Elephas maximus indicus: one gene and its partner. The protein of the gene in region 1 interacts with the protein of each later gene in a pairwise test. Links are inferred from orthologs where the notes say so. Each region holds a gene or a part of one and is shown on either strand. Other genes may lie near its edges. The genes, in order: FEZ2 and SCOC.

The links.
Region 2: the proteins of FEZ2 (region 1) and SCOC interact in binary tests that used the Homo sapiens proteins (3 or more experiments, as listed by UniProt). The link is inferred for Elephas maximus indicus from reciprocal best matches to the Homo sapiens genes FEZ2 and SCOC.

Annotation. Positions count from the first base shown.
Region 1 is NC_064844.1:27,843,298-27,859,444, reverse strand, and holds the start of FEZ2 (fasciculation and elongation protein zeta-2), read right to left. Parts: upstream 6,555-16,147; 5' UTR 6,522-6,554; coding exon 6,262-6,521; intron 1-6,261. UniProt on the Homo sapiens protein: Involved in axonal outgrowth and fasciculation.
Region 2 is NC_064823.1:2,551,413-2,566,725, forward strand, and holds the start of SCOC (short coiled-coil protein), read right to left. Parts: upstream 6,393-15,313; 5' UTR 6,299-6,392; coding exon 6,193-6,298; intron 6,165-6,192; exon of another isoform or gene 5,987-6,164; intron 285-5,986; coding exon 213-284; intron 1-212. UniProt on the Homo sapiens protein: Positive regulator of amino acid starvation-induced autophagy.

The DNA of each region.
Region 1 (16,147 bases):
CTCAAAAAGAAGAAAACCACAATCAACAAACATTAACATTCCACATGTCTTTTATTAAACAAACATTTATCATAACAGTGGAAGAGGAGTCCCTGGGTCGCACAAACAGTTAACACGTTCGGTGGCTAACCAAAAGGCTGGAGATAGGGATCCAGTCAGAGGCTCCTCGGAAGAAAGGCCTGGGAATCTACTTTGGAAAAAATCAGCCACTGAAAGCCCTGTGGGGTACAGGTCTACTGACACACATGAGGACGTCATGAGTCGGAGCTGAAGCAACAGCAACTAGTTTTACCGTGGAAGAAGAACGCCGAGTATTAAAGAAGAAAAACAGAAGACACATCGTTTCTCAGAAAAACATCACCAAAGTAGAGCATGATAAACAAGACTAAATGGAAATCATATAACTGGGCTGACAAGTCCTCAGGAAAGGTAGCGTAGGAAACTCCCAAAGTCAGTATGTGCCCAGCTCCTAGATGTTTACAAACTATTACTACTGATGATAATGGCGAACACTTCAACTGTACTGTGTGCCAGCACTGTCATAAGCAATTTACATATATCAACTCACTTAATCTTTAAAAACAATATTATGTGGTAGGATGCATTATTACCTGTTTTATGGATGAGGAAACCAAGGCACAGAGAGTTCAAGTAATGTTTCCAGGCCACACAGGTAGCAGCCACACCATACTTTACACTTTTCTTTCTGTAACTTTCAAACATATTAAAAAAAAAACTTTGCCATCGAGTCTATTCGGACTTGTAGTGACCCTACAGGACACGGCAGAACTGCCATAGGGTTTCCAAGGCTGTACTCTTTACAGAAGCAGGCTGCCACATCTTTCTCCCACAGAGGGGCTGGTGGGTTCAAACCACTGAGCTTTTGGCTAGCAGCCAAGCATTTAACTACTGCACCACCAGGGCTCCTTCCAAACATATAGACTGTTTCATAAAAGTCAATAATCTCTCTCTAACCAAAGATGTGTTATACTTTCTGAAGAAAAGTACCCCTATTCAGGCTCAATGCGAGTAGAGACAGGGATTTTAAATCTAATTTGAAATATAATAAACTAACAACTAAGACAGAAATGAATGAAAGGAGAAAGAGACAGACTTCGCAATGAAATATCTACTGCAATTACCCTACCTTATTATCAAATGGCAGTTTGGGGCAGCAGTAGGGTAAAACGAAAATGGCACTTGACTGAGATTCAGGAAACACAGACTCCTGTCTCCATTCTTCCGTAAACAAAGAGTCTTTGGACAAGCCCCTTAACCTGTCTAAGTATCAGCCACCCTTCTATAAAATGAGAGGCTTGGACAAGAATAGCAGACATTCCCTCTAGCTCTATTAGTCTAAGTATTGATTCAAATGAGTTGCATTGAGGAAAGTCTCAAACACACCAGATATGGACAACAAGCTCCAGTTTCGTGACTGAAATTCAGGTTTCAGTACTAAAGTAACAATCAGCGTAATAAAACATGAAGTTGTATGACAAAAACAGAGTTCGGAGATACAAATGAGATGTATCTCATTAACTGGGCAAGTAAAGTTAAACACTACACATAAAAGCTATTTCATGGCTGTGTTGTCGTTAGGCGCCGTAGAGTCATTTCCCTATGTACAACAGAACGAAACACTGCCCAGTCCTGCACCATCCTCGTGATTGTTGTTATGCTTGAGCTCATTACTGCAGCCACTGTGTCAATTCATCTCGAGGGTCTTCCTCTTTTTCACTGACCCTCTACACTACCAAACATGATGTTCTTCTCCAGGGACTGGTACCTCCTGATAACATGTCCAAAGTATGTGAGATAAAGTCTCGCCATCCTCACTTCTAAGGAGCATTCTGGCTGTACTTCTCCCAAGACGGATTTGTTCACTCTTTTGGCAGTCCATGACATTCAATATTCTTCGCCAACACCATAATTTAAAGGCTAGAGGTATACAAATGGATGTCATAAGAAAAAAAAAAATCTGAAAATTATAATGGGTATCTAATTGTGAATAGTCCCTGGGCAGCACAAGTGGTTACGCGCTGGACTACTAAGCGAAAGGCTGGGAGTTCAAACCCACCCAGAGGTGCCTCAGAAGACAGGCCTGGCAATCTGCTTCTAAAAGGTCTCAGCCACAAAAGCCCTATGGAGCACAGTTCTACTCTGCATATACAGGGTTGCTATGAGTCGGAATCAACTTGACAGCAACTAATGTCAACAATTGTGAATAAGCAATTCAATAACTGGTTGGAATTTTTCCAAGTGTAAGCCACTGGAAAACAAATACGATACAATGGGCACATAAAAATAAGAATACAAGATTTTAAAATAGTGAGGCAGCATACTTGATTTAATGAATAGGGATTTAGTGCTAAAAAGCAGCAGCCATGGGACCACAACTGCCAAATCATAAAGTCCCAAAAGACGTTTGCCTTTGGAACGCACATTCAGCCTCGCTAAAAACGTGAACTCAAGAAGCTCTTGAAAACCATCTCGTTTACCCAGCAAATCCCCATTCGCACAGCTCATTTCTATTCTCCTCTCTGTTGGAATCAGGTCTCCTCTAATGCCAACGTGCCAGGAAAAGATGTTAAGGCCTCTGGGTTGCTAACCTTGCCGGGTTTCTGGTCCACACCTTCCTGGCTGAAATTTTCAAATACTGAAGCAGTGACTGCATATCTAAACCCTGGTCATGAAAGTCAGTAGGATAGTCTAGCAGGTGAAAATAGTCCATAGTTTCTGGGTTTTGTTTTGTCTGCTTGCCTGCTCCTTCTTAAATGAGACTATCAAAAAAAGGACAAGCGCAATGGAATACTTTACCTAGAAGAAGGGATTGTGGGTGAATTTGATCTTCTAAGAAAATAAAGAACAATTAACAGTCCTCTAATCTACCAGGTGCTCCTTGGAAACCCTATGAGGCAGTTCTACTCTGTCCTATCCTATAGGGTCGCTATGAGTCAGAATAGACTCCACGACAATGAGTTTTGGTTTTCATCTCCACCAAGACCAAAACAATTGCAACTGGAAGGACACAGGGCCAACTTACCTGAAAGATTTTTGGAATTCTCCAGTCAAGACATGAACTGTCTTCATGCTTATCATGTACATATTACAACCAATCACAAACAACAGCTCTAGGGAGGTCAAAGTCTGACAACACTGAATCCTGAAGACACCCTTCTAAAGTAAAGCCTTGGTAGATAAGTACACTCTGTATCTAACCAAAACTAAAGCTGGACTCAGAACAGTTAAATAAAGTGCCCTGTTGTTGTTGTCCTTAGGTGCCATGGAGCGGATTTTGACTCATAGTGAGCCCATAGGGCTTTCTTGGCTGTAATCTCTATGGAAGCACATAGCCAAGTATTCCTCCCACAGAGCCACTAGGTGAGTTTGAACAGTGGACCTTTCAGTCAGCAGCCCAGTGCTTAACCACTGACTCGGCAGGGTTCCTTAAAATGCCCTAAAGCAAGGGAATATCTGAGAAAAAGAATTCTAAATCTCTAGTGAAAGGAGCATGATGGGCTCTATCAAACAGATTCAGGCACTGGAAAGGGGACAATGACCATGGTGACCAGCCCCAGGCCCTGAACAGAGAAAAAGAAATTTCTTATGTACCAAATCGAGGGATGTGTACTACCAGGAATATATCTACTAAAAACTGTTTTCGAACGTAACAAAATATTTTAAGTTTCACATCAACCTGTGATCTAAACAAAGGCTTAAAACAGACTGCTTCCAGACAGTACTTGTGAGGCAAAAACAGGAACCTCTAATTGTCTATATACAAACCACTGATGTGTTTTGAGTATGTTAACTCTTGATACGTAGTAAATTTTAAAATCCAGAATACGTTGTGAGTTCTAGCGATTCAGGGCAGGTACATCTACACATATATAGCTATTTTTTCTTTCGGAATAGATTCCAAAACTGTCATCTTTGTTGTTGACAGCATGCATATTTGTGTGCATAAAATCCATCATAAATTTTTTTCTCCTCTGCCTGGGCAGAACACTGTGAAGATGTATCAGTAAAAACATACAGTTTTGCCAAAACAGAAAGACAATGAAAAGATCAGGGGTGGCCAAGGGCTCAGGGGGAAGGGTGGAAAGATGAATAAGCAGAGCACAGGGCATTTTTAGGGCAGTGAAACTATTCTGCATGATATTGTAATGGTGACACATGACATTACGTATTTGTCAAAGCCCATAGGGCTGGACAATGCAATCAGTGAACCCTAATGTAAACTAAATGAAATGTTGCCTGGTCCTACTCCATCTCTATGATGGGTTAAAGATTAGACTGCTGTGATCCGTAGGGCTTCCAGTGACTGTCTGGGAATCGACCACCAGGCCTTTTCTTTCTAATTTGGGTTAGTCTGGAAGCTCCACTGAAACCCGCTCAGCATCACAGCAACAAGCAAGCCGCCACTGGCAGATGGGTGGTAGCTCCACAGGAGGTGCACTGGCTGGGAATCAAACTGAAGGCTCTGGCCTGGAAGGTGAGATTTCTACCACAAAACACCACTGACTCAGCTAATAACATACCAGTGATGGTTCCCCAACTGTAACAAATATACCACAGGAATGCAAGATAGAAACAATAGAAAAAACAATGCCTATGGGGTGTATTTGGACTCCGTACTTTCTGCATAAGGATCCCTGGTGGTGCAGCAGTTAAGTACTTGGCTGCTAACCAAAAGTTTGGAGGTTCAAAGTGTGAGTGGGAATCTGCTCCTAGAAAACCCTATGGGGGCAGTTGTATTTTGTCACATGGGATCACTATGAGTTGAAATCTATTTGCCGGCACCTAACAACATTCTTAAATTTTTTTTTTTAACAACATTCTGCATAATCTTTCTGTAAACCTAAAACTGCTCTAAAAATTAAAATGTATTTAAAAACTAAAAGTATATATATATATAGTCTCCAAGCACAGCTGGGCCATACACTGCTTAGCACTGTTTACAAGCCCGTTTCCAACTCTCCTCAAGTTCCCTACCTCATCCCTGGTCTATCTCCTCGTTCACAGAGGAAACCGAAGCCATCATGCTGGAACACCGTTCTGTGCCATGGATCCTTCTCCCTCTCTGAGAGAGACTGTGTTCCCTAATCTCTACTCTCTCCACCCCACCAATGCTCTGAAAACCATCCCTACCCACATCCTCAGTCCTCACTCCGTTAATTTTACCTTCAGCCTCTCCAGTAGCTCCTCTCCCCATGTATATACAATATGCTCACTTTCTGAGCTCTCACTTTTGACCATCTTCTGAGGTAAAATGCCGCTTTGTAGTTACAACTTTTACTCCACCACATTATAACTGGGGGTCAGGGTGGTCAAATAAAGTGCTCCAGGAGCTCTGCTGTTGCCTCTTCCCCAGCTCTCATAAATCACTGTGAATTTCTTATCTTTGCATTTAGGTGGCTCTTCCCACTGCTTATGCACTGGCCTCCCCACCACACTGTAAGATCCTTGCCATTAATATCCAGAGCCCTTCCTTTTAGCCTCTGCGGCAGCTTGCACTCTACCTGGACACTCTGCAGGGCCCAATAAATACCTATGGCATAAGTGCTGTTTCACACTTAGTACTTTTAAACGTGGGATATCATCAGCCCAGAACGCCAGACCTTTCTTCACCTGCCAGGCGAACTCCTGCACATTCACCTGGATCCAGTTTTCACAGCTTTCTTTATGAAGGCTTTCCTGACTCTCCCCCACACATCTTTTAGATCGCCCGTATTTTGCGCACATACCCATTACAGCACTTTTCAGACCATACGAATCATGTGTTTTCAAATCAATCTCCCATCCTAGGCTGTGTCCTACTTTAGAAAGACAGTGTCGCAGTCATCTTGTATTCCTAGCGCGAGGCACTGCCTGGCACTTAGCAGGAGCTTAGTAACTGCTCTTTGACCGAATGAATGGCGACACACGTGCCCCAGTGGGGACGGTCTCTCACTACGGGCTGGGTACAAGGAGGCTCCCTCTAAACCAAACACCGGCTTCCTTTCTATGAAAGAGGGGACGGAGGGGCAGCGGCGGAGCGTCGAGGCCGCGTGGGAGGCGCGGACCCGGGATTTGATCTCCCAGCTCGCAGGGGCTGCAGAGGCCGGAGGCGCAGTGGAAGCGGGAGGAAGAGCAGGGGGCGGGGACTCCTGGTCCATGGAGGCGGAAGGGGGTGCGGGGAGGAGCCTGCGCCGAAGTCCCGCCGAGGCCGCGGACCGGGCGACGGGGGAGGGAGGGAGGGGAAGGAGGGGCCGCACTCACTCGTCCCCCTGCAGGAGGCTGCGCTCCGTGATGGGCCGCACGGCCGCCCGCGGGGGATCGGCCCCCGCGCCCGACGGCCGGAAACACAGGCTCAGCTTCTCCTCCAAGCTGCGGGCCAGCGCGGGGAAGCCGATACCTCCCCCGCCCGCCCCTGCCCCGGCCCCGGCCTCGGGGCTCGCGTTACAGTTCTCCTCGTCCCGGAGGCTCCGGGCCGGCTCCTGGAACTCATAGAAATCCTGCCAGTCCCCGTCGGCCGCCATCACCTCCCGGCGCCGCCGCGCGCCCCGCCCCGCCGGCCCCGCCCCGCCCCGCCCCGCCGTCGGCACCGACCCGACTGGCCGGGCCCCGCCCCGGTCCGCCCCGACGTCCCTGCCCAACCCCGCCGTCGGCCCCGACCCGACTGGTCCCGCCCCGCCCTGACAGGTCCCGTCTGGCCCCGCCCCGCCCCGACCGGCCCCGCCCTTCCCCGGCCAGCCGGCCCCGCCCCGGCCGGCCCCGCCCCACCCTGCTGTCTGGTCCTGACGGCTCCCGCCCCGCCCCGGCCGGCTCGGCCCTCCTCGCCGTCGGCCCCGCCCCACCCCGGCGGCCGGCCCCGCCTCCAAATACCGTGTCCTACCCCCTTCCTCCTGCTACTTGGAGGTCTTCTGTCCCAGCCACCCAGTTCCCTAGCCTTTCATTTCCCTCCATCTTCTCAGAGTTGACAGTTGGTGCCATACATAGAAAGGACAACCTTCACTGTGTTGAGTCACTGTCATTTCGAAATATCTTCCTTCTTTGTTCTCTTACTGGAAATTTGGCTCAAATGTGTTTAAAATAAAAGATTCCTTTAAGTTGCAGCCTGGGTGGTGCAATCAACCGCTGACATAAAGCTTGACAGTTCAACCCACCCACCGGCTCCAGAAGAAAGGCCCGGTGATCTGCTTCTGTAAAGATTACAGCCAAGAAAAGCCTATGGAGCAGTTCTACTCTGTAACACAGCAGGTTGCCATGAATTGGAATCTACTGGATGGAAGTTTGGGGAAGTGTCCAATTTTGCCCCAAGGTGTTTCCCTAGAGTGTTGTTGTTAGTTGCCATTGAGTGGCCTCCAATTCATGGCATCTTACGTGTAACAGAGCTAAACATTGCTGTTCCTCAGCCATCTTCGTGATCTTTGGTATGTTTGAATTCTTATGTCAATCCATCTCATCAAGTCTCCCTAGTGTAACCCCTCATTAACTCATTCAAACCTGCCGTATGCAGATGACACAACATTGCTTGCTGAAAACAAAGAGGACTTGGAGTACTTATCGATGAAGATCAAAGACTGCAGCCTTCCATATGGATTACACCTCAACATAAAACAAAAATCCTCACAACTGGACCAATAAGCAACACCATGATAAACAGAGAGAAAAAGATTGAAGTTGTCAAAGATTTCATTTTACTTGGCTCAGAATCAACACCCATGGAAGCAGCAGTCAAGACATCAAATGAGGTACTGCATTGGACAAACGTGCTGCAAAAGACCTCTTTAAAGTTTCGAAAAGCAAAGATGTTACTTTGAGGACTAAGGTGCACCTGATCCAAGCCATGGTATTTTCAATCAACTCATACGCATGTGAAAGCTGGGCAATGAATAAGGAAGATTGAAGAATTGATGCCTTTGAATTACAGTGCTGGCAAAGAATATTAAATATACCGTGGACTGCCAGAAGAATGAACAAATCTGTCTTGGAAGAAGTACAGCCTTAGAAGCAAGGCATCTCACATACTTTGGACATGTTATCAGGAGGGACCAGTCATTGGAGAAGGACATCATGCTTGGCAGTGTAGAGGGTCAGTGAAAAAGAGGAAGAACCTCAATGAGATAGATTGACACAGTGGCTACAACAATAAGCTCCAACTTAGCAGTGATTGTAAGGATGGCACAAGAGTGGGCAGTGTTTCGTTCTGTTGTACATAGGGTAGCTATGAGTCTGAAGCACTTGACAGCACCTAACAACATACCAACAACACAGTAACCTGGTCCTTTTATAACATTCCAACCAGAATAACAGCCAGAGTCTCTGGGAAATGCTCAAATGGTACAAAATTCATTCCACAAATATTTTATGTCTCCTACGTGCTGTGCTGCATCCTGTGGAACATATGAAGATTAATAATTATGTGAGTTAATATTTGCAAAGCACTTAGACCAGAGCCTTACACTTAGTAAGGGCCACAAATCCACACTGCTCCCTACAAGGGGCTTACAATGTAGTGGGGGGTGTGATAAGACTAACAGGAAATCTCTCGTATGATATAAAAAATTAGTATGATTTTAAGGTGACTTGATTATATAGAGGCAATAAATGCTTAAGAGTTGATAAGAGTGATAGCTTTGGACTGGAGTAACCAAATACTTCATTTACAACGTGGGCCGAAGCTGACCATGAAAGGGGAGGTATTTTAGAAAAACAAACCTTAAATTGGAATTGGAAAATAAGATTTTTCCCAGTATACTTTGTCCATCTTTTGACAGCATGGAAACCCATCCTCAAGAATATATGTTAATACCAACATTTTCTTATTTCCCATTCCAATTGTTATCTCTTGTCCCATGTTAAACAAAATATTTCTGTGATTGAGCCTAAGAAACTGTTGATAATTACAGGCAAGATTGTTCCCTATTTCCTCCGAAACCTTAAAGGGAGCAAATCCTGAGTTCTGCTTGGCCAAGAGTTAGAACTAATTAACCCAAATCCATTGCTGTTGAGTGGATTCCGACTTACAGTAACCCTGTACGACAGAGTAGAACTATCCTACAGGGTTTCCAAGACTGTAAATCTTTCTCCCACAGAGGGCTGTTGGGTCTCAACTGCCAACCTTTTGGTTAACAGCCAAACTTTTAAGCCACTGCACCCCCTGGTTCCTTAGAACTAATTAGCCACCAGTTAATACCTTTGGGGTTGATGAGAAAATATTCTGGTTCAGCTGACATTTACCTATCTGAACGTTACTCAAAGCGATGCTCTAAACCTATCAAAGAGCTGTTTTTCTCTAGGTTTGTAGCCACACACAAAGTTATGAGAATACTGAGTTGACTCACACTCTCTGAAGTGTGTACATAGATAGCTAAGGCAAAATTGTTTTTTTGTTTGTGTGTTTGTTTTTTCTTCTTGACTTGTATCTCCGTTTACCTATGTGGTCTGTCTGAATCTATGAGTGGAAATAAAATTCACTTACTCTGAGAACCCAAATGTAGCACTGTCAACCTTTTCATTTGCTTGGCAATAAACTGCCACAGGGTTATGATCTCAGAATTTTATTTTAGTCGAATTTTCTACACAGGATGCTTTTTACTTTTAATTAAATGCAAACTACCTTGTGTCACCCTGGACACTTTGAATTGCAAAAACAGGATTTGAATCATTTCTTAATTTATATTTGCACACCCATAATAAGGAAACCCTGGTGGTGTAGTGGTTAAGTGCTACGGCTGCTAACCAAGAGATCAGCAGTTCGAATTCACTGGGCGCTCCTTGGAAACTCTATCAGGCAGTTCTACTCTGTCCTATAGGGTCGCTAGGGGTCCAGAATCGACTCGACAGCAGTGAGTTTTTTTTTTTTTTACCCATAATAAACTTGGCAGTCAATGCAATCTATAAAAATGCTCCAACAAAATGTGTCACTGAGAAAACTGATTATATATGTCTGTGGTTTTACCACTTTATGAGGACCGAGCAATGAGAATAGAAACTGTAGTAGGGAACAAAATGCTAATCTGTGCCTTTACAGATTACAAATAGTCACTGTGAACATGAAAGAGAAATAGCAGAAAACAGTTTAAGTGGTGGGATAACTAACCAGGTAAAATTGTGAAGTAAAAATATTTGTATTCAGTGCCTTCCACAAGCCTCTCCCCATGCGATAAGTGATGACTAAAAGTTGCTCCAGCCTCCCAGAACAGCCGACAGGACACTGGGTTCCGCCCAGGCTGTGGCCCTAGTGCCTGTACCCACCCTTTTCTTTAGCTTCTTTGGTACTTGACTCAGACTGCTCTTACCATCTTATACCCTTTTACCTCATATTTCCTGACAACAACCATAGCCCACATCCCAGCAACACTATTTGCCATTTGCCAAATTCTAGCTTCCTAACATTGCTACAGAAACCCTGGTGGCACAGAAGTTAAGTGCTACAGTTGCTAACCACAAAGGTCAGCAGTTCAAATATACCAGGCACTCCTTGGAAACTCTATGGGGCAGTTCTACTCTATCCTAAAGAGTTGCTATGAGTCGGAATCAAGTCGACAGCAATGGGTTTGGTTTTTTTAACATTGCTACGTGGATGTCAGAAGAGATTCTGAAATTTGCTCTTGAACATAGAGTAGCTAAAGTGAAAGGAAGAAATGATGAAGTAAAAGAACTGCACAGAAAATTTCAAAGGGCAGCTCAAGAAGACAAAGTAAAGTGTTATAATGAAATGTGCAAAGACCTGGAATTAGAAAACCAAAAGGGAAGAACACACTTGGCATTTCTCAAGCTGAAAGAACTGAAGAAAAAATTCAAGCCTCAAGTTGCAATGTTGAAGAATTCTACAGTGTAAAATACTGAACAATGCGAGTAGCATCAAAAGAAGATGGAAGGAACACACGCTGTCACTGTACCAAAAAGAATTGGTCAACGTTCAAACATTTCAGAAGGTAACATATGATCAAGAACCTATGGTACTAAACGAAGTCGAAGCTGCACTGAAGGCAGTGAAGAAAAACAAGGCTCCAAGAACTGACAGAGTATCCAATAAGATGCTTCAACAGAGAGATGCAGCACTGGAAGTGCTCACTCATCTCATCTATGTCAAGAAATTTGGAAGACAGCTTCCTGGCCAACCGACTGTGCCCATTCCAAAGAAAGTCGATCCAACAGAATGCAGAAATTATTGACCAATATCATTAATATCACACACAAGTAAAATTTTGCTGAAGATCATTTAAAAGCAGTTCAACAATACATCGACAGGGAACTGTCAAAAGTTCAAGTGAGATTCAGAGAAGAGGACATAGAATACAAAGATGGAAGGGCTGACTCAGTAGGGGGAGAGTAAGTGGGAGTATGGAGTAAGGTGTATATAAGCTTATACATGACAGACTGACTTGATTTGTAAAAGTTCACTTAAAGCTCAATAAAAATTATTTAAAAAAAAAAAAAAAGATACCATTCCTGATGTAAGATGGATCTTGGCGGAAAGCAGAAAATACTAGAAAGATGTTTACCTGTGTTTTACTGACTACGAAAAGGCGTTCGACTGTGTGGATCATAACAAATTGTGGATAACATTGTAAAGAGTGGGAATTCCAGAATACTTAATTGTGCTCACGAGAAACATGTGCATATACAAAGATGCAGTCATTCGAACAGAAAAAGGGGATACTTTGTGGTTTAAAGTCAAGAAAGGTGTACGTCAGGGTTGTATCCTTTTACCTTACTTATTCAATCTATGTGCTCAGCAAACAACCCAAGAAACTGGACTACATGATGAAGAATGCAGCATCAGGATTAGTGGAAAACTCATTAACAACCTGTGATATACAGATGACACAACCTTGCTTGCTGAAAGAGAAGAGAACTTAAAGCACAGAGCCATCAGTATGGATTGCACCTCAACATAAAGAAAACAAAAGTCCTCACTACTGGACCAATAAGCAACATCATGATAAATGGAGAAAAGATTGAAGTTATCGAGGGTTTCATCAACACCTATGAAAGCAGCAGTCAAGAAATCAAGCAATGTATTGCACTGGGCAAATCTGCTGCAAAAGACTCTTTAAAGTGTTAAAAAGCAAAGATGTAACTTTGAGGACTAAGGTATGCCTGACCTAAGCATGGTATTTTCAGTTGTCTCATATGCATGTGAAAGCTGGACAATGAATCAGGAAGACCAAAGAAGAATCAATGCCTTTGAATTATGGTGTTGATAAAGAATATTGAATATACCATGAACTGCCAGAAGAACAAACAAATCTGCCTTGGAAGTACAGTCAGAATGCTCCTTAGAATGGAGGAGAGCGAGACTTCATGTCATATACTTTGGACACGGAGCCGTGTTTAGTTCTGTTGTACATAGGGCTGCTATGGGTGGGAACCAACTGTATGGCATAGAACAATAACCACAAACATTGCCACATATCCAGCAAAACTTCAGACTTTCTGCCAGTTTTACCTGTTTAGATCAGTCCATCAGCTCCCAAAGGCTTGTGGTAAAGACGAGGTTATCTCACTTTGTTATACCTCACATAGCCAGATTCTACAAGTTTGTCCACCACAATCAGTTCATTTCAGACCTTTTATTTCCTACCAATGCCTAGAGGTCCAATGAAAATATGCTAGCTAAATTGATATGAAATGTTACCCTATAAAACTAATTTTCAGTGCTTGATTCAAAATTAGAAAGGGAATATAGAGTAATGTAGAGAGCTTTGTGGTGCTTGAGTATTATGTTCATATTAATCATTTAAGATGAGAAAAGTTACTTTTCTGGTTTGAAAATATACTTAAATTATGCACATATGTAGTACACCACAGTAGAAATTTAAATAACAAAAAAGTAGATAATTCAACAGATAGACTTTATCTAAGGGTATAATTAATCAGGAAATATAAGAACTGGAAAAAGAAAGAAACTACTGGAGACAAGACCAGAAAATAATCTGGTTGTCAAAGCACCGTATTTAGCAAAAGCTGAAGATTATAAAGCAACCCTAAGACAATGAAAAATGTACATAAATGAAAATTTCTTGAAAAGATAAGCTAATAAAAAAAAAAAACTATTCAATAATTGGAAGAAAGGGAAAAACTGAAGAAACAAAAGGAAAAAGAATTTAGAGATCAATATGTTGACCTAAGAATTTAAACAAATGTTGTTGGCTTGCCAAAAATGGAAAGGGTAGTATTCTTTCCATTTTGTCTCTAGACCACATCCTGAGTGGTCTCAAATGCAAACATGCAGACATCTCAAGCTGTGCGTCCAAACCCCATATACATCTCTACATAGGCTCTCCCATCCCTAGTCTACAACTTGAGTTTCAGGGTTCACGCACTAGGAATGTGTTCTTTCCATTTTGTCTCTGTTTCAAAAAGAAACGATCGAGATCCTTTCAAGTAACTGAAGACCACAACCTAGCCTTTATTTTTTTTTTAATTTTTATTGTCCTTTAAGTGAAAGTTTACAAATCAAGTCAATCTCTCATATAAAAATTTATAAACACCTTGCTATATACTCCTAATCGTTCTCCCACTAAAGAGACAGCCCTCTCCTTCCCTCCACTCTCTCATTTTGTGTACATTCCACCAGCAAAACTTCAGACTTTCTGCCAGTTTTACCTGTTTAGATCAATCCATGAGCTCCCAAAGGCTTGCGGTAAAGAAGAGGTTATCTCACTTTGTTATACCTCACATAGCCAGATTCATCTCCCCTCCAGGCAAGAGATGCCAACATAGTCTCAAGTGTCTACTTGATTCAAGAAGCTCATTCTTCACCAGCATCTTTTTCTATCCCATTGTCCAGTCCAATCCCTGTCTGAAGAGTTGGCTTTGGGAATGGTTCCTGCCCTGGGCTAACAGAAGGTCTGGGGGCCGTGACCCCTGGGGTCCTTCTAGTCTCAGTCAGACCATTAAGTCTGGTCTTTTTATGAGAATTTGGGGTCTGCATGCCACTGCTCTCCTGCTCCCTCAGGGGTTCTCTGTTGTGTTCCCTGTCAGGGCAGTCATCGGTTGTAGCCGGGCACCATCTAGTTCTTCTGGTCTCAGGCTAACCTAGCCTTTATTAATAAAGATTGTTTAATTCTAATTATTCAAGTTTGATAGGGATGCATCTTTAGTGAATAGTTATGCCTTCAGTTTCAATGCATTTAATTAGGACCTTGATCAAGCAGAACCAGGCTGAACAGAAACAGTGGAGGGCCCCCAATAGAAGGAGCCAAGGTGACTTTCCATAGCTGAGCCCTTACAAAGTACTAAAATAGCTGGATTGGAAAGAAACTGCCAAGCACATGCCCTGTGATCTGGATAATCAAATGCTAGTCTCAGAAGGATTACTGGCGGTAGTTTTTTTTATCTAAATTATAATTGTTCTAATAATTTAACCAGTCAAGAAATCAAACGACATACTGCATTGGGCAAATCTACTGCGCTCTTTAAATTATTAAAAAGCAAAGATGTCACTTGAGGGCCAGTGTGCCTGACCCAAGCCAGGGTATTTTCAATTGTCTCATATGCATGTGAAAGCTGGACAATGAATAAGGAAGACTGAAAAATAGATGCCTTTGAATTATGGTGTTGACAAAGAGTATTGAATATACCATGGACTGGCAGAAGAATGAACAAATCTGTTTTGGAATGTTCCTTAAAAGATAGGATAGCAAGACTTTGTCTCACGTACTTTAGACATGTTATCAGGAGGGACTAGTCTTTGGAGAAGGACCTCATGTTTTGTAAAGTAGAGGGTCAGCAAAAAAGAGGAAGACCCTCAACGAGATAGATTGACATGGTAGCTGCAACAATGGGCTCAAGCATAACAATTGTGAAGGTGGCAGAGGACCGGGCAGTGCTTTGTTCTGTTGTACATAGGGTTACTGTGAGTCAGAACTGACTCAGCAGCACCTAACAACAACAACAATAATTTAACCTTGAAGGATCCTATAATTGATAGCAACAAATGTACAATCTAAATGGCCTGAATTTCCTGCTTTTAAATATTCTTAATTTTCTTATCTGAAATTAAGATTGTGCACAACTGAATATACCAAAAGTTATCTAATATATATATTTTTAATTTTAAGGCTTTTAGTATTTTACATGTCGAGGCTTCTTGGGATGATATCCTCTATGTGCTCTTTCTTCTACAACTGTTACCACTATACATTCTTACTAAGAATGAGGAACAAAGAATGAGGAGGGAGAACTCTTCCTTCAACAAGAGGACATGGATATGCATATGGATCTTTAAAATTGTAAAGAATTTTTCTTGCCTCCTTTAAGACTATAAGAAAAATTAGAATAATAGAGCTATAACAATGTGAATGTAATATATTCCCTATAATGTCTTCTCCTCAGAAGATTGTGATTTTGGCTTTTCGCCTTGTCATTCGTCTTTCTACAGGGTAGAGTTCTTTCTAACTTTGACTGACCAAATTGACATTTTTTTTGTACACTAGCAAAACCAAGGTTGTGTCTCTAACACTGGGGTCCTTGTACATGTTCCAATATCTTTGTCTCCCAGAGCCTATCCATTGCCTCTATTTACTGACCCTTTGTTGTGTAGGATTTTATCTTAGATAATTAATAGAGAGATACTCAGGTTTGACATACATAAACTCATTTAGTTTATTTCAAAGTAGTCATGGCAAGGCACCCAAGCAAGACCTCACAATATTCATTTAGAACCAGAGAATCGAAATTACAATTACAGTGTTAGTTACATGGCTGGAGTCCAAATCTTTAGACTTCAGGCTTTTACATTTAACAAGAGATCTCAGGAGGAAGGCTTGGCCACTGCTGGAACTTGGCGGGGGTCCCTAGAAGCTAGGGTCCAAGGCTGGCGGCAGCAGACAGAGTCTCAGCAGTCTCTTGGTGTTTCCCTCTGCCTTCTCTCAGTGAGTGAGCAGAAATTCAGGGTTTATATGTGAATTTGTCACCTTAGCTCCACATGACAAGGGCCAGTGTGACGTCAAAGACTACTACGTCTTTTCTGCAAGATTAGAGAGTAGCCAAATGACATATCTTCTCTTCAAGATTAGAGATTAGGGAGGTTGTTGAGATTTGTGTTACGTTTTAAGTCACAGCATGCCGGGTCAAAGTGAACTTAAAGGTTGTTTATGTTCCTTCCATATTTCACATGCTTCTATGTTTCTATGTCTAAGTTCAGAAA
Region 2 (15,313 bases), on another chromosome or scaffold:
CTGTGAAGTAAAAACCTACATCCCCACTTTACAGATGAGGACACCGGAGTAGAAATTAAACCAGCTCCAAAACCTTCACAGTTAAGTTATATGGGATATAAATAAACACATTAGCTTAGATCCAAGTCTTCTAATAATTGCTTCTCTGTTCTTTCCACTGCCAAAGCATCCACAAAGCCAGGAATGTACCGGAAGGAAAACGAGAGACGTACCATCCACGTCTGCGTTCATCATCTTGGGTAACAAACTTCTGGGCCTTGGATACAAAATTCTTGATGAATGACCTGCAGTGAGGAAAGACTCAGAAATATAAACACATACAGCAACACAAATGCTTTTTCAAAAGATTTAATTAAATTATTGACCTAATAGGCTCCTTATCACATGCTTTACTGTTTCTAAGAATAAAATAAATATCCAACTGCAACCAACCCAAAACCAGACCCACTGCCACTGAGTTGATTCCAACTCACAGCGACCCTAGAGAACAGGGCAGAACTGCCCCATAGGGTTCCCGAGGCCGTCACCTTCACAGAAGCAGACCGCCACGTCTTCCGCAGAGCAGCCGGTGGGTTCGAACTGCTGGCCTTTCGGTTAGCAGCCCAGCACTTCAACCACTGTACCCCCACTGGTTGCTATCCTTATTCGATAGCAAAGGGTGTGTATAAATAATTTACAAGAGAAGTATGTTAATGAACAATAAAATATGTTCAGTTCTTTGGTAATAAAAAAAATGCATAATAAAATGAGATACCCCTGTACATCTATTAGGAACCCTGGAGGTGCAGTAGTTAAGAGCTAAACAAAAGGTCGGCAGTTCAAATCTACCAGCTGCTCCTTGGAAACCCTATGTGGCAGTTCAACTCTGTCCTATAGGGTTGCTGTGAGTTGGAATCGAATCAACAGCAACCGGTTTGGTTTGGTACATCTATTAAATTTTTTTTTTTTAAAGGCAAGAGAATGATTAATACTAGTAAGGTTTTGGAAAAACAAATACACAAATATTGGACACAAATTTTCAATATGTATTTTTTTTTTTTGGAAAGCAGCAATAATAAGATTCATAAAAACATGTAAGTCTTTTTTACTAAGTAATTTTACCCTTGGAAATTTAACCTAAGGACAATGACAATGAAGGAAAAAGTTACACATATAAAAATGTTCACTTCAACCTTATTCACGACCTAATACATTGGGAACAACATAATTGTCCATTCAGATTCTGCTGTAATTTCTAATACAGTGGCTACGAAAAGTAATTATGATGACTGTAACAACATGGAAGAATGTTTATGAAATTGTATATTCACTGATGTAAATTATGTAAAAGATGAATAAATATGTATAAAACAAACACAGCAAAATGAAAAAGTTATTAAAGACAATGGTAAGGATGAAGACCAATCCTTTTCAAAATACTCTTCATCATTAAAGTACTGTTTTACAGATACTGTTTACCAAAAAAAAAAAAAAAAACCTGTTGCTGTCCAGGGGATTCAAAAGAAAAATACTATGTATCTAAAACACTACTATGGAATAAATGGAAGTTTTCCATGTCACCTCTTGGTTATAGTTAAACCAAAACAGATGAATCCTGCTGTAAATAAGTAAAATACTAACATATCATTGTTCGGATAAAAGGCTCCAAAATATCAGACCACAAAATTCCAGGGGAACATGTTCTGCTAACCTGATAACACTGATTTCACCTTCAAAGTGCTGAAAATATATTAAATAATCCTACCAGATTGCTACCAAAAACAGATCTTTTAACTCATCTACTACACTGAAGCAACCTAGACCTGTTTTGTCTATGGTGTTATTCTTTCACCAAGTATTTATGAAGCATTTACTACACCTAGATATTGTTGTTTCCATATGCTAACCAGTGAAACCCAGCCCTATGGAGCAAGGATGTCTGTACACTAGAAACTAGACTCACAACCACTTATCCATTGTTACAGGTGCTCTCTCCCACTTCTTTTTCACATGGTTCTGTGCACTTCAAAGAATGTATATCTTGGTATATCCATGTAAATCTAAATAGACTGATTGGTATACATTCTTTCAAATGTTCTTTTTTTGGTAACTTATTCAACCTATTCTGGTGTTTGAAGATCACACTTAGAAAATTATTCCTCTCCATTCAATCTCTTATAACAGAAGAGGAAGAGTGTTAGCAAGGAAGGCCTGATTTGACACTTCCCTGAGAGATGCATATTTCTAAGGAGGTCCAGTCATCCTCACTTTTCATACCATTTCAACCACTCATCTGGCTGAAGGAGGGCTGGGAGAGATGACAGAGGCAACAGCCAAAAGCAAAAGTAAGTGACTTCAGGAGGACTCGGCCACAGTAGACTGCAACTTGGCCATTTCCCCTGTACACCTTAGCTTTTGATAAAAAGAGCTTAACATTTCTATTATCCAGGTTTTTGAGTTTTTTGAAGAATACAGCTAAAACAATTTTCATAATATATGAGAAGAGTTTTACAAGCGAAAGCAACTAATAATCATGAAATTAAATACATGTGATTTTGAAATCTGATGTAGTATGGGGATGGGATATACTTATTTTGCTTATGTTTCTTTCTAACATTAAAATTAAACCAAAAAGTATTCTACAAATGCACAAGTGTTTCAGACCAATCACTGTCGAGAATAAAGAAAAAAAAAGCCAGGTTCTGAAATTTTGGTCACATTGTTTGGCTCAAACAGAAAATCTATAAATAGCTTATCAATAGTTTGACTTCATCTGACACAAAAAAAAATGAAAAAAAAAAAAGCAGAAACAACAAGGGAAGAGAGGCCTAGAGGCCTAATTAGGTGAAAAATTGCTCTAAGAAAAGCACAGTTGGGACTGATTGACAGGAATGGGGGAGCAGGACAAAAGCTGGGCCACCAGGACAGTCCTGTAGGCTATACCACACAACCTAGGCAGCACCAGTCACGGAGTCTGTGTAAAAGACACACCCCAAGGGTTGTACAGTACAAAACCTGCCCAACTGTATGTCACAGCCCTATGCAAAAGGCACTACTTCTAAATAAAGTAGACCAGAGCATTATCTGCTGTCTCTCCACAACAACAAAAAGTAGCAATTTTCTCCTATTGCAATGTAACGAAATACTACGACCTCAAACACTGTTCTATTGTATATATTCAAAATATTTCTGTAGATTTTAGAGTAACAAGCTGACTTCCTTACTGGGATCAAAGGGTTTATTGAGATCCCTGTGTCAAAATATTTCAGGCGTGGATATTATTTTCTTTCAAAATACAATCAATCCTCAAACTGCAATATTTAGCCTAAAATATTATCACACACTACACCACAGCATATCATAATTATGTACTCAATACAAGACTGATTTTTCCAACTATAAAATCCTTCCTTATCTACAGTTGCTATCACATCTATCCAATTCCACGTCAAATGTACTCTTATGAGTTCATTTTAAACTCTTCTCATTCCTACACATAAATGGAAATCTGACTTGAAAAGAAAATCTAATCCAAAGTATCTCAAGTGCAAGAACACTGAAACAAATGTGGGGTGCTGCGGCTCTGTTCAAGCCAAGGCTGCCCTGTCTACCCTGCTCCTGCCTTAGCTCTGAAATGGACATGATGCTCCAAGAGCCTTCAACTTCAACCAAGCCTAGGTCACACATCTTATAAAACTTCTCAAAAATCACAGTAAATTTTGGTGCCTATCCTCAACCAGTTGTGGTCAGTAGTAGAGAACCCAGAATTATTCTGATAATTTAAGTCCAGGAACCAGAAGGTAGGGTGAGAACAAGGATCAGGAAGTATGGAAAGCATTAGGACAAGATCCATTTAATCACCTAAGTTATCTTTTCTGTGCCCACACCTAACTGTGACCAAAGACTATCACATTACCCAAATATACCTCTACGTTTCTACTAATAGTATCACAACATCCCTCTTCTCAAGAGGAAGTTTAGCACAGTGATTAGGAACACGAACTTTGCATGGATTCAAACCTTAGCTCTGCCATTTATAAGCTCTGAAGCCCCAGATGAGGTTAACATCTCAGCCTCAGTTTCCTTATCTGTAAAGTGGGAAAAACAACAGAATGTACCTAGTGGGGTTGTTGTGAGGATTTAATGAGTTGATACACAAATATGCTTGGAACAGTACCTGTATATACCACATTTTTCTGCAAATAACACATCCACACATATAACTTGCATAGCACGCCTAGGAAAATAATGCGTGAGAGGGGTGCTTAAACAATTCAGGCCAAAGAGCCTTAGAAAAATCATCTGGTCTACCTGCCAAAGATGAGAGTGGCTTACCCAAGATCATAGAGCTAATTATCAACAGAGCCAAGACTGCAGCCAATGTCCCACTGTGGGTTTTTCCACCATTCCATTACCGCTATGCTCACACATGAGGCTTAAGGTTTTAAGACTTTTCCCTGTTATTTGCCCAGCCTAAACCACCAAACTTTTCTGCATCTAAAACAGATTTCCATCTATAATCTACCAACCATCCTCTGTCATCTACTTATAATGGACTCGTAAAACTACTAAAATAATATCTTTGCGCATTAATGTACTAAATGCTTTACTTATTATTTCATCAAATTGACAGAAGGACATTGCAATTTACAGATGTGGACACTAAATCTCAGAATGGTTATGTATCTTGCCTCAAGTTTCACAACCAATGTCTGTACCAAGAATCTGAGCCCAGGTCTAACTTCAAAGTCCCTGCTTTTTCCATTAAACAACGAAAGAAATTTTAATATGGCCCTAATCAAAGTTTATGGAGCCCTGGTGGTACAATGACTAAGGGTTAGGCTACTAACTGAAATGTGGGTGATGTGAACCCACACAGCACCCAGCGGGAGAAAGACCCAGAGGTCTGCTTCGGTAAGCATTACTGTTGTTAGGTGCCACAGTTGTTTTTGACTCATGGTGACCTCATGTGACAGGAGAACTACGTCATAGGGTTTTCTAGGCTGTAATCTTCACAGGAGCAAATCATCAGGCCTTTCTCCCACAAGGGCTGATGGGTACAATCGCCAACCTTTCAGTATCCCTTAGCCTTTGCACTATAAAAATCACAGCCAAGAAAACTCTATGGGGTGGTTCTACTCTGTCATTTGGGCTTGCTACGAGTCGAAAACGACTAAACGGCACCCCACAACAACAGCAATGAAAGTTTGCCCAACATTTTACAACCCCTGATGCTGAAGATAAATTTCATTCCCTTTAAACTGCATCGACTTTGCTCAGATTCACTCCAATTCAGTGTTTTAACTTGGTTCTGGTTAGATACATTACGTTTCAAATTCCTCAAGATCAAATGAGGATCTGAACTCAGGCTAGATCCCCAGAGAGGGGCTAACCATGTTGAGTTTTGTCAGTGGGGCTCACGAGGATATACAGGCATGGGTCCTCACAGGAAGAGAGACCGGGTTGGGAACAGCAGGCAAGTAACTGCTTTTAATGTTGTTATGTCATAGTACTAGTGAGACTGATACACTGGATAACAGAAGCCTTCCTTGCCTTTCTAGGAAAGTAGCCTTTTTCCCCCCAATCCTTAACACACAGCCCAAACTTGTTCAGCAGGACTCTTGTGAGAAGCCAACGGAGAATCAAAGCCGGGTGCTGCCGTCAGCGCCTGGATAGGCCCCCAGAGCTCATCACACCGCTCGCCCGCCTCCCTCCCCGCCTCCCCGTCCTCTTCCGGCCCTATTCCCCAACTCGGACTCTCGGCAGAACAGCCAGGGCAGGTCCAGTCGTGCCGGGTCCCATCCCGCCCAAACGGCCCTCCCGCGGTCGCGATCCCGAGGACAGCGGGAGAAGGCGGCAGGGGGCAGGGGGCCGGGGCTGGGGGCCGGGGGCTCGGGCTGGGGCCCGGGGGCCGGGGCTGGGGGCCGGGGGCCGGGGGCCGGGGGCTGGGGCTCGGGCCGGGGCCGGGGCCGAGGCCGGGGCCGGGGGGGGCCCGCCCCACAGGTACCTCTGGCCCGATAACGCGATAAGCGAAGGAAGGTGGCGCGGGGATCTGCAGGAAGCCAGGCCTCAGCCGCCCACCCACCGACTGCCTAGGCGGAGGCCGCTCCCCCGGCCCTCGGGCTCCGCCCGCGTCCCCGCCCATCCCGCCTGCCGGCCCTCGGCGGCACAGACGCCGCTACTCCAGGCTCCCCGGCCCGGAACCGCCCTCACCTGCCGTTCGAGGCGCCGCGACAGGGACGGGCTGGGAAGACGCCTCAGGCCCGGACACTTGGGCCCACTGACACGGGCAGCCCCGCCTCCTCCGCTCACGGAGCATGCGCCGAGCCAGAAGTCCCGCCTCGGCCCACACAGCTGCCAGCCAATCATCGCTCAGAGTACACGCCTGCGTACTAGCTGCCCGGCGCCCCACTCTTCCTGGCTCAAAGCACCTGATCTATCTTTTGCTGTAATAAAAGGACATTGGCTTCCAATCAGGATTCAGGTCGTTGTGGGCAAGGAAGGATGGGCGTGTCCGGGAAGAGCAACAGCCAATGAAAGTACGGAGGCGAGGTTAAGCGCGTGATAGCCGGTCCAGGCGATGCAGCTCTTGGGCCTCACCACCCCCCACCCCCACCCCCAGCCCATCCCCCACCACCCACCCCCAGCCCCATCCCCCACCACCCACCCCCAGCCCCATCCCCCACCACCCACCACCCACCCACTGCCATCAAGCTGATTCCGACTCATAGGGACACTATAGAACAGAGCAGAACTGCCCCACAGGCTTTCCGAGGAGCACCTGGTGGATTCAAACTTGGTTAGCAGCTGTAGCACAGCAAAAGGAACAAACCAAACCGGTTGCCGTGGAGTGGATTCCGACTCATGGGGACTCTAAGACAGAGTAGAACTGCCCCGTAGGGTTTCAGAGGAGTGCCGGTGGGTTCGAACTTTCAGTCTTTTGGTCAGCAGCCATAGCTCTTAACCAGTATGCCACCAGGGTTTCCTCAGTCTCTGCAGTAACCTGAAAATTGGGATCAGAAATCCTGACCGGATAATCCCGGCTGCTGTCAGGAAAACGGTTGCTTTAGCCGAAAGGTAGGCGAGGGAAAAATCATTCAAATTTAAGAAAGGGGCATTTGTGAACTGAAGAGAGAGAGAGCCAAGGCAATACCTTTGTTCCTTGATTCTAAAAGTAGACTTTACCATATTTTTTATTTCCCAAATTGAAATGCTCGTAAAGTGTCCGTGAAGTGGAATGTTCTCCCTGCCTGCCTCCCTCAAACTATTATTAAATCTTTAGTGCCCCTGACAAATGATATTTTAGAATTGAGAAAATACTTCAATAGCACTTTAGTATAGCGCTTTTGCTCACTTCATCGCACTTGACCCTCACATCAACCCAAGAAAGAAACTGACGCTTAGAGAAAAAGAAATCTCTTGCTCAAGGTCAAACCTGCAGTACAAAATGACACACGCCAGCTTTCGGATGATAATGTGGTCTTGCTTGACACTGTTTATCGATGTCTAGCAATTGGCACATGGCACAATCCTGCTTGTTTTTAGTATTTGTTTTTTTTATAAGGTGGGGACACCAGCAGAGATCCATGTTTTGACTTTGGCACAGTCTCCGGAGCTGCTGGGGTTAGCCTCATGCCTGCCTGTTTCTTTCCATTTTGCTTCTGTCACAGTTTGCTGATATACAGCCTTAGTCCTTTTAAGGGCTGCATTAAAAAAATCTTCCATTCAGTGTTTGAGAGCTCTACATTTGGCCGGAACTACAACGCACAACTTCAGGAAATTTACTAGCATGCAATACCGGAGATAAATAAACGGAAAATAAGAAAAGTCTAACATTAATAGAAGTGCCAAAAGGAGAGACCAGAGAGAATGGGGCAGCGTTCAAAGCATTTTCCAGGGTTGGTGGAATATTTAAATGCTCAGATTTAAGAAGCACTTATTGTTGAGCAAGATTAATGTAAAGAATTCCATATGTAGACACTTCGTGCTGAAACAGTAGAACACCAAAAAACAAAAGAAACTACGAAAAGCAACTTTTAAAAATGTAGTAGTGATACAAGGATAAACAAAAAGAAAATTGGAAAAGAAGGTGCCTGTAAGTATACAATTACTGTGTCAGATATAAGTGTTGCTAAGGATGTGGGGAAACAGAACTATTATTTGTTGCTATTGGGAATGTAAATTAGTACAATAACTTTGTTCATTGGCCATAGAAAAAATAAATTATAATGGAAAGCTCAACTGTGTCGAATACTGTTGATCTGTTAAATATGGTCAGGACAGAGAACTGACCAAAAAAAAGAAAAAAAAAAAATCCTTTATGATCACGGCACTAACAAAGTCAAGTTTTTACTTGTTTGCTCGCTTTTTGCTTGTTATTTATTTCTAATTTTATCGTATCTTTAAGGAATCTATGACTTTTGTTTATTTATTTGCCCTTACAATTAATCACTGTCCTAGAAAATTATTATGAAAGAATTAAAAAGCCAATTAATTTACATTTCCTACTTGTTAATTCTTTCCAAGTCTAAGAATTGCTCCTTTCTACTCTCCTTATCGCCATAATATTTAAATGTCAGAGAGCCAATGGGCTGGGTCCACAGACCTCTTCTCTATTTATACTCACTATTTAACCTTATTGCCATTGGTCACCATCTATATGCTGTCAACTCTGTGATTTATATCTCCAGCATGGATCTTCCACTTAGGCCCTAGACAGGTATAGCTAACTCTCTTCTCAACATCCCACTTGTGTGTCTACTGGGCATGCCAAACACAATATGGTAAAAAAGAAAAAAAAAAAAAAAGAACTTATTATTCCATACACATACCCCAAACTTGCTTTTCTCACAATCTTCTTTATCTCAGTAAATGGCAGCCCTGTCTGTCCAGATGCTTAGATCAAACACCTTGGCATAATCCTTGACTCTTCTTTCTCTCATATACTGCATTGAATTCAACAGTAAGCCCTGTTGATGCAGGAAAGTATATCCAAAATTTGATAATCATTCACTGTCTCATCTCCACGTGCTCTGGTCCAAGCAATTCTCTTTTGGATCTGGGTTACTGAAATAGCTTTCTGACTCCTGTCCTTGCCATGCACACATCCGGGCTCTTCTCTACATAGTAAAAAAAAGTAGCAAGAGTGATATTTTAATGTGGGATGCAAAGTGACATCCACTTAGTCTCAGGATGCAGAAAGCTGCAAATGAATGTCATTCCAACTTAACAATGAGAACACAGCCAGATAACCTAAAAAATTAATAATGTTTAAACTACCAGCATCAATTTAATGTGAAAGTGGTGCTGCTTCGGTGAAACTGCATTTTCACTCCCAACATGAACAGACTGCTGACCGCCAGAGGTCAACACGCCTGCTCGGGAGCCCTTCTCCTGTCACTCCCAACATGAACAGACTGCTGACCGCCAGAGTTCAACACGCCTGTGTCGGGAGCCCTTCTCCTGTCACTCCCAACATGAACAGACTGCTGACCGCCAGAGGTCAACACGCCTGTGTCGGGAGCCCTTCTCCTTTCACTCCCAACATGAACAGACTGCTGACCGCCAGAGTTCAACACGCCTGTGTCGGGAGCCCTTCTCCTGTCACTCAAAACATGAACAGACTGCTGACCGCCACAGTTCAACACGCCTGTGTCGGGAGCCCTTCTCCTGTCACTCAAAACATGAACAGACTGCTGACCGCCAGAGGTCAACACGCCTGTGTCGGGAGCCGTTCTCCTGTCACTCCCAACATGAACAGACTGCTGACCGCCAGAGGTCAACACGCCTGTGTCGGGAGCCCTTCTCCTGTCACTCCCAACATGAACAGACTGCTGACCGCCAGAGGTCAACACGCCTGTGTCGGGAGCCCTACTCCTGTCACTCCCAACATGAACAGACTGCTGACCGCCAGAGTTCAACACGCCTGTGTCGGGAGCCCTTCTCCTGTCACTCCCAACATGAACAGACTGCTGACCGCCAGAGTTCAACACGCCTGTGTCGGGAGCCCTTCTCCTGTCACTCCCAACATGAACAGACTGCTGACCGCCAGAGTTCAACACGCCTGTGTCGGGAGCCCTTCTCCTGTCACTCCCAACATGAACAGACTGCTGACCGCCAGAGGTCAACACGCCTGTGTCGGGAGCCCTTCTCCTGTCACTCCCAACATGAACAGACTGCTGACCGCCAGAGTTCAACATGCCTGTGTCGGGAGCCCTTCTCCTGTCACTCCCAACATGAACAGACTGCTGACCGCCAGAGTTCAACACGCCTGTGTCGGGAGCCCTTCTCCTGTCACTCCCAACATGAACAGACTGCTGACCGCCAGAGTTCAACACGCCTGTGTCGGGAGCCCTTCTCCTGTCACTCCCAACATGAACAGACTGCTGACCGCCAGAGTTCAACACGCCTGCTCGGGAGCCCTTCTCCTTTCACTCACAACATGAACAGACTGCTGACCGCCAGAGTTCAACACGCCTGCGTCGGGAGCCCTTCTCCTGTCACTCACAACATGAACAGACTGCTGACCGCCAGAGTTCAACACGCCTGTGTCGGGAGCCCTTCTCCTGTCACTCCCAACATGAACAGACTGCTGACCGCCAGAGGTCAACACGCCTGTGTCGGGAGCCCTTCTCCTGTCACTCCCAACATGAACAGACTGCTGACCGCCAGAGGTCAACACGCCTGTGTCGGGAGCCCTACTCCTGTCACTCCCAACATGAACAGACTGCTGACCGCCAGAGTTCAACACGCCTGTGTCGGGAGCCCTTCTCCTGTCACTCCCAACATGAACAGACTGCTGACCGCCAGAGTTCAACACGCCTGTGTCGGGAGCCCTTCTCCTGTCACTCCCAACATGAACTGACTGCTGACCGCCAGAGTTCAACACGCCTGTGTCGGGAGCCCTTCTCCTGTCACTCCCAACATGAACAGACTGCTGACCGCCAGAGGTCAACACGCCTGTGTCGGGAGCCCTTCTCCTGTCACTCCCAACATGAACAGACTGCTGACCGCCAGAGTTCAACACGCCTGTGTCGGGAGCCCTTCTCCTGTCACTCCCAACATGAACAGACTGCTGACCGCCAGAGTTCAACACGCCTGTGTCGGGAGCCCTTCTCCTGTCACTCACAACATGAACAGACTGCTGACCGCCAGAGTTCAACACGCCTGTGTCGGGAGCCCTTCTCCTGTCACTCCCAACATGAACAGACTGCTGACCGCCAGAGTTCAACACGCCTGCTCGGGAGCCCTTCTCCTTTCACTCACAACATGAACAGACTGCTGACCGCCAGAGTTCAACACGCCTGCGTCGGGAGCCCTTCTCCTGTCACTCCCAACATGAACAGACTGCTGACCGCCAGAGTTCAACATGCCTGTGTCGGGAGCCCTTCTACTGTCACTCCCAACATGAACAGACTGCTGACCGCCAGAGTTCAACACGCCTCTGTCGGGAGCCCTTCTCCTGTCACTCCCAACATGAACAGACTGCTGACTGCCAGAGTTCAACACGCCTGTGTCGGGAACCCTTCTCCTGTCACTCCCAACATGAACAGACTGCTGACCGCCAGAGTTCAACACGCCTGTGTCGGGAGCCCTTCTCCTGTCACTCCCAACATGAACAGACTGCTGACCGCCAGAGGTCAACACGCCTGTGTCGGGAGCCCTTCTCCTGTCACTCCCAACATGAACAGACTGCTGACCGCCAGAGTTCAACACGCCTGCTCGGGAGCCCTTCTCCTTTCACTCACAACATGAACAGACTGCTGACCGCCAGAGTTCAACACGCCTCCGTCGGGAGCCCTTCTCCTGTCACTCCCAACATGAACAGACTGCTGACCGCCAGAGTTCAACACGCCTGTGTCGGGAGCCCTTCTCCTGTCACTCCCAACATGAACAGACTGCTGACTGCCAGAGGTCAACACGCCTGCGTCGGGAGCCCTTCTCCTGTCACTCCCAACATGAACAGACTGCTGACCGCCAGAGTTCAACACGCCTGCGTCGGGAGCCCTTCTCCTGTCACTCCCAACATGAACAGACTGCTGACCGCCAGAGGTCAACACGCCTGCGTCGGGAGCCCTTCTCCTGTCACTCCCAACATGAACAGACTGCTGACCGCCAGAGTTCAACACGCCTGTGTCGGGAGCCCTTCTCCTGTCACTCCCAACATGAACAGACTGCTGACCGCCAGAGTTCAACATGCCTGTGTCGGGAGCCCTTCTCCTGTCACTCCCAACATGAACAGACTGCTGACCGCCAGAGTTCAACACGCCTGTGTCGGGAGCCCTTCTCCTGTCACTCCCAACATGAACAGACTGCTGACTGCCAGAGGTCAACACGCGTGCGTCGGGAGCCCTTCTCCTGTCACTCCCAACATGAACAGACTGCTGACCGCCAGAGTTCAACACGCCTGTGTCGGGAGCCCTTCTCCTGTCACTCCCAACATGAACAGACTGCTGACCGCCAGAGGTCAACACGCCTGCGTCGGGAGCCCTTCTCCTGTCACTCCCAACATGAACAGACTGCTGACCGCCAGAGGTCAACACGCCTGTGTCGGGAGCCCTTCTCCTGTCACTCCGAACATGAACAGACTGCTGACCGCCAGAGGTCAACACGCCTGTGTCGGGAGCCCTTCTCCTGTCACTCCCAACATGAACAGACTGCTGACCGCCAGAGTTCAACACGCCTGTGTCGGGAGCCCTTCTCCTGTCACTCCCAACATGAACAGACTGCTGACCGCCAGAAGTCAACACGCCTGTGTCGGGAGCCCTTCTCCTGTCACTCCCAACATGAACAGACTGCTGACCGCCAGAGTTCAACACGCCTGTGTCGGGAGCCCTTCTCCTGTCACGCCCAACATGAACAGACTGCTGACCGCCAGAGGTCAACACGCCTGTGTCGGGAGCCCTTCTCCTGTCACTCCCAACATGAACAGACTGCTGACCGCCAGAGTTCAACATGCCTGTGTCGGGAGCCCTTCTCCTGTCACTCCCAACATGAACAGACTGCTGACCGCCAGAGTTCAACACGCCTGTGTCGGGAGCCCTTCTCCTGTCACTCACAACATGAACAGACTGCTGACCACCAGAGGTCAACACGCCTGTGTCGGGAGCCCTTCTCCTGTCACTCCCAACATGAACAGACTGCTGACCGCCAGAGGTCAACACGCCTGTGTCGGGAGCCCTTCTCCTGTCACTCCCAACATGAACAGACTGCTGACCGCCAGAGTTCAACATGCCTGTGTCGGGAGCCCTTCTCCTGTCACTCCCAACATGAACAGACTGCTGACCGCCAGAGTTCAACATGCCTGTGTCGGGAGCCCTTCTCCTGTCACTCCCAACATGAACAGACTGCTGACCGCCAGAGGTCAACACGCCTGCGTCGGGAGCCCTTCTCCTGTCACTCCCAACATGAACAGACTGCTGACCGCCAGAGTTCAACACGCCTGCTCGGGACCCCTTCTCCTGTCACTCCCAACATGAACAGACTGCTAACCGCCAGAGTTCAACATGCCTGTGTCGGGAGCCCTTCTCCTGTCACTCCCAACATGAACAGACTGCTGACCGCCAGAGTTCAACATGCCTGTGTCAGGAGCCCTTCTCCTGTCACTCCCAACATGAACAGACTGCTGACCGCCAGAGTTCAACACGCCTGTGTCGGGAGCCCTTCTCCTGTCACTCCCAACATGAACAGACTGCTGACCGCCAGAGGTCAACACGCCTGTGTCGGGAGCCCTTCTCCTGTCACTCCCAACATGAACAGACTGCTGACCGCCAGAGTTCAACATGCCTGTGTCGGGAGCCCTTCTCCTGTCACTCCCAACATGAACAGACTGCTGACCGCCAGAGTTCAACACGCCTGTGTCGGGAGCCCTTCTCCTGTCACTCCCAACATGAACAGACTGCTGACCACCAGAGTTCAACACGCCTGTGTCGGGAGCCCTTCTCCTGTCACTCCCAACATGAACAGACTGCTGACCGCCAGAGTTCAACACGCCTGCTCGGGAGCCCTTCTCCTTTCACTCACAACATGAACAGACTGCTGACCGCCAGAGTTCAACACGCCTGCGTCGGGAGCCCTTCTCCTGTCACTCCCAACATGAACAGACTGCTGACCGCCAGAGTTCAACACGCCTGTGTCGGGAGCCCTTCTCCTGTCACTCCCAACATGAACAGACTGCTGACCGCCAGAGGTCAACACGCCTGTGTCGGGAGCCCTTCTCCTGTCACTCCCAACATGAACAGACTGCTGACCGCCAGAGGTCAACACGCCTGTGTCGGGAGCCCTACTCCTGTCACTCCCAACATGAACAGACTGCTGACCGCCAGAGTTCAACACGCCTGTGTCGGGAGCCCTTCTCCTGTCACTCCCAACATGAACAGACTGCTGACCGCCAGAGTTCAACACGCCTGTGTCGGGAGCCCTTCTCCTGTCACTCCCAACATGAACTGACTGCTGACCGCCAGAGTTCAACACGCCTGTGTCGGGAGCCCTTCTCCTGTCACTCCCAACATGAACAGACTGCTGACCGCCAGAGGTCAACACGCCTGTGTCGGGAGCCCTTCTCCTGTCACTCCCAACATGAACAGACTGCTGACCGCCAGAGTTCAACACGCCTGTGTCGGGAGCCCTTCTCCTGTCACTCCCAACATGAACAGACTGCTGACCGCCAGAGTTCAACACGCCTGTGTCGGGAGCCCTTCTCCTGTCACTCACAACATGAACAGACTGCTGACCGCCAGAGTTCAACACGCCTGTGTCGGGAGCCCTTCTCCTGTCACTCCCAACATGAACAGACTGCTGACCGCCAGAGTTCAACACGCCTGCTCGGGAGCCCTTCTCCTTTCACTCACAACATGAACAGACTGCTGACCGCCAGAGTTCAACACGCCTGCGTCGGGAGCCCTTCTCCTGTCACTCCCAACATGAACAGACTGCTGACCGCCAGAGTTCAACATGCCTGTGTCGGGAGCCCTTCTACTGTCACTCCCAACATGAACAGACTGCTGACCGCCAGAGTTCAACACGCCTGTGTCGGGAGCCCTTCTCCTGTCACTCCCAACATGAACAGACTGCTGACCGCCAGAGTTCAACACGCCTGTGTCGGGAACCCTTCTCCTGTCACTCCCAACATGAACAGACTGCTGACCGCCAGAGTTCAACACGCCTGTGTCGGGAGCCCTTCTCCTGTCACTCCCAACATGAACAGACTGCTGACCGCCAGAGGTCAACACGCCTGTGTCGGGAGCCCTTCTCCTGTCACTCCCAACATGAACAGACTGCTGACCGCCAGAGTTCAACACGCCTGCTCGGGAGCCCTTCTCCTTTCACTCACAAC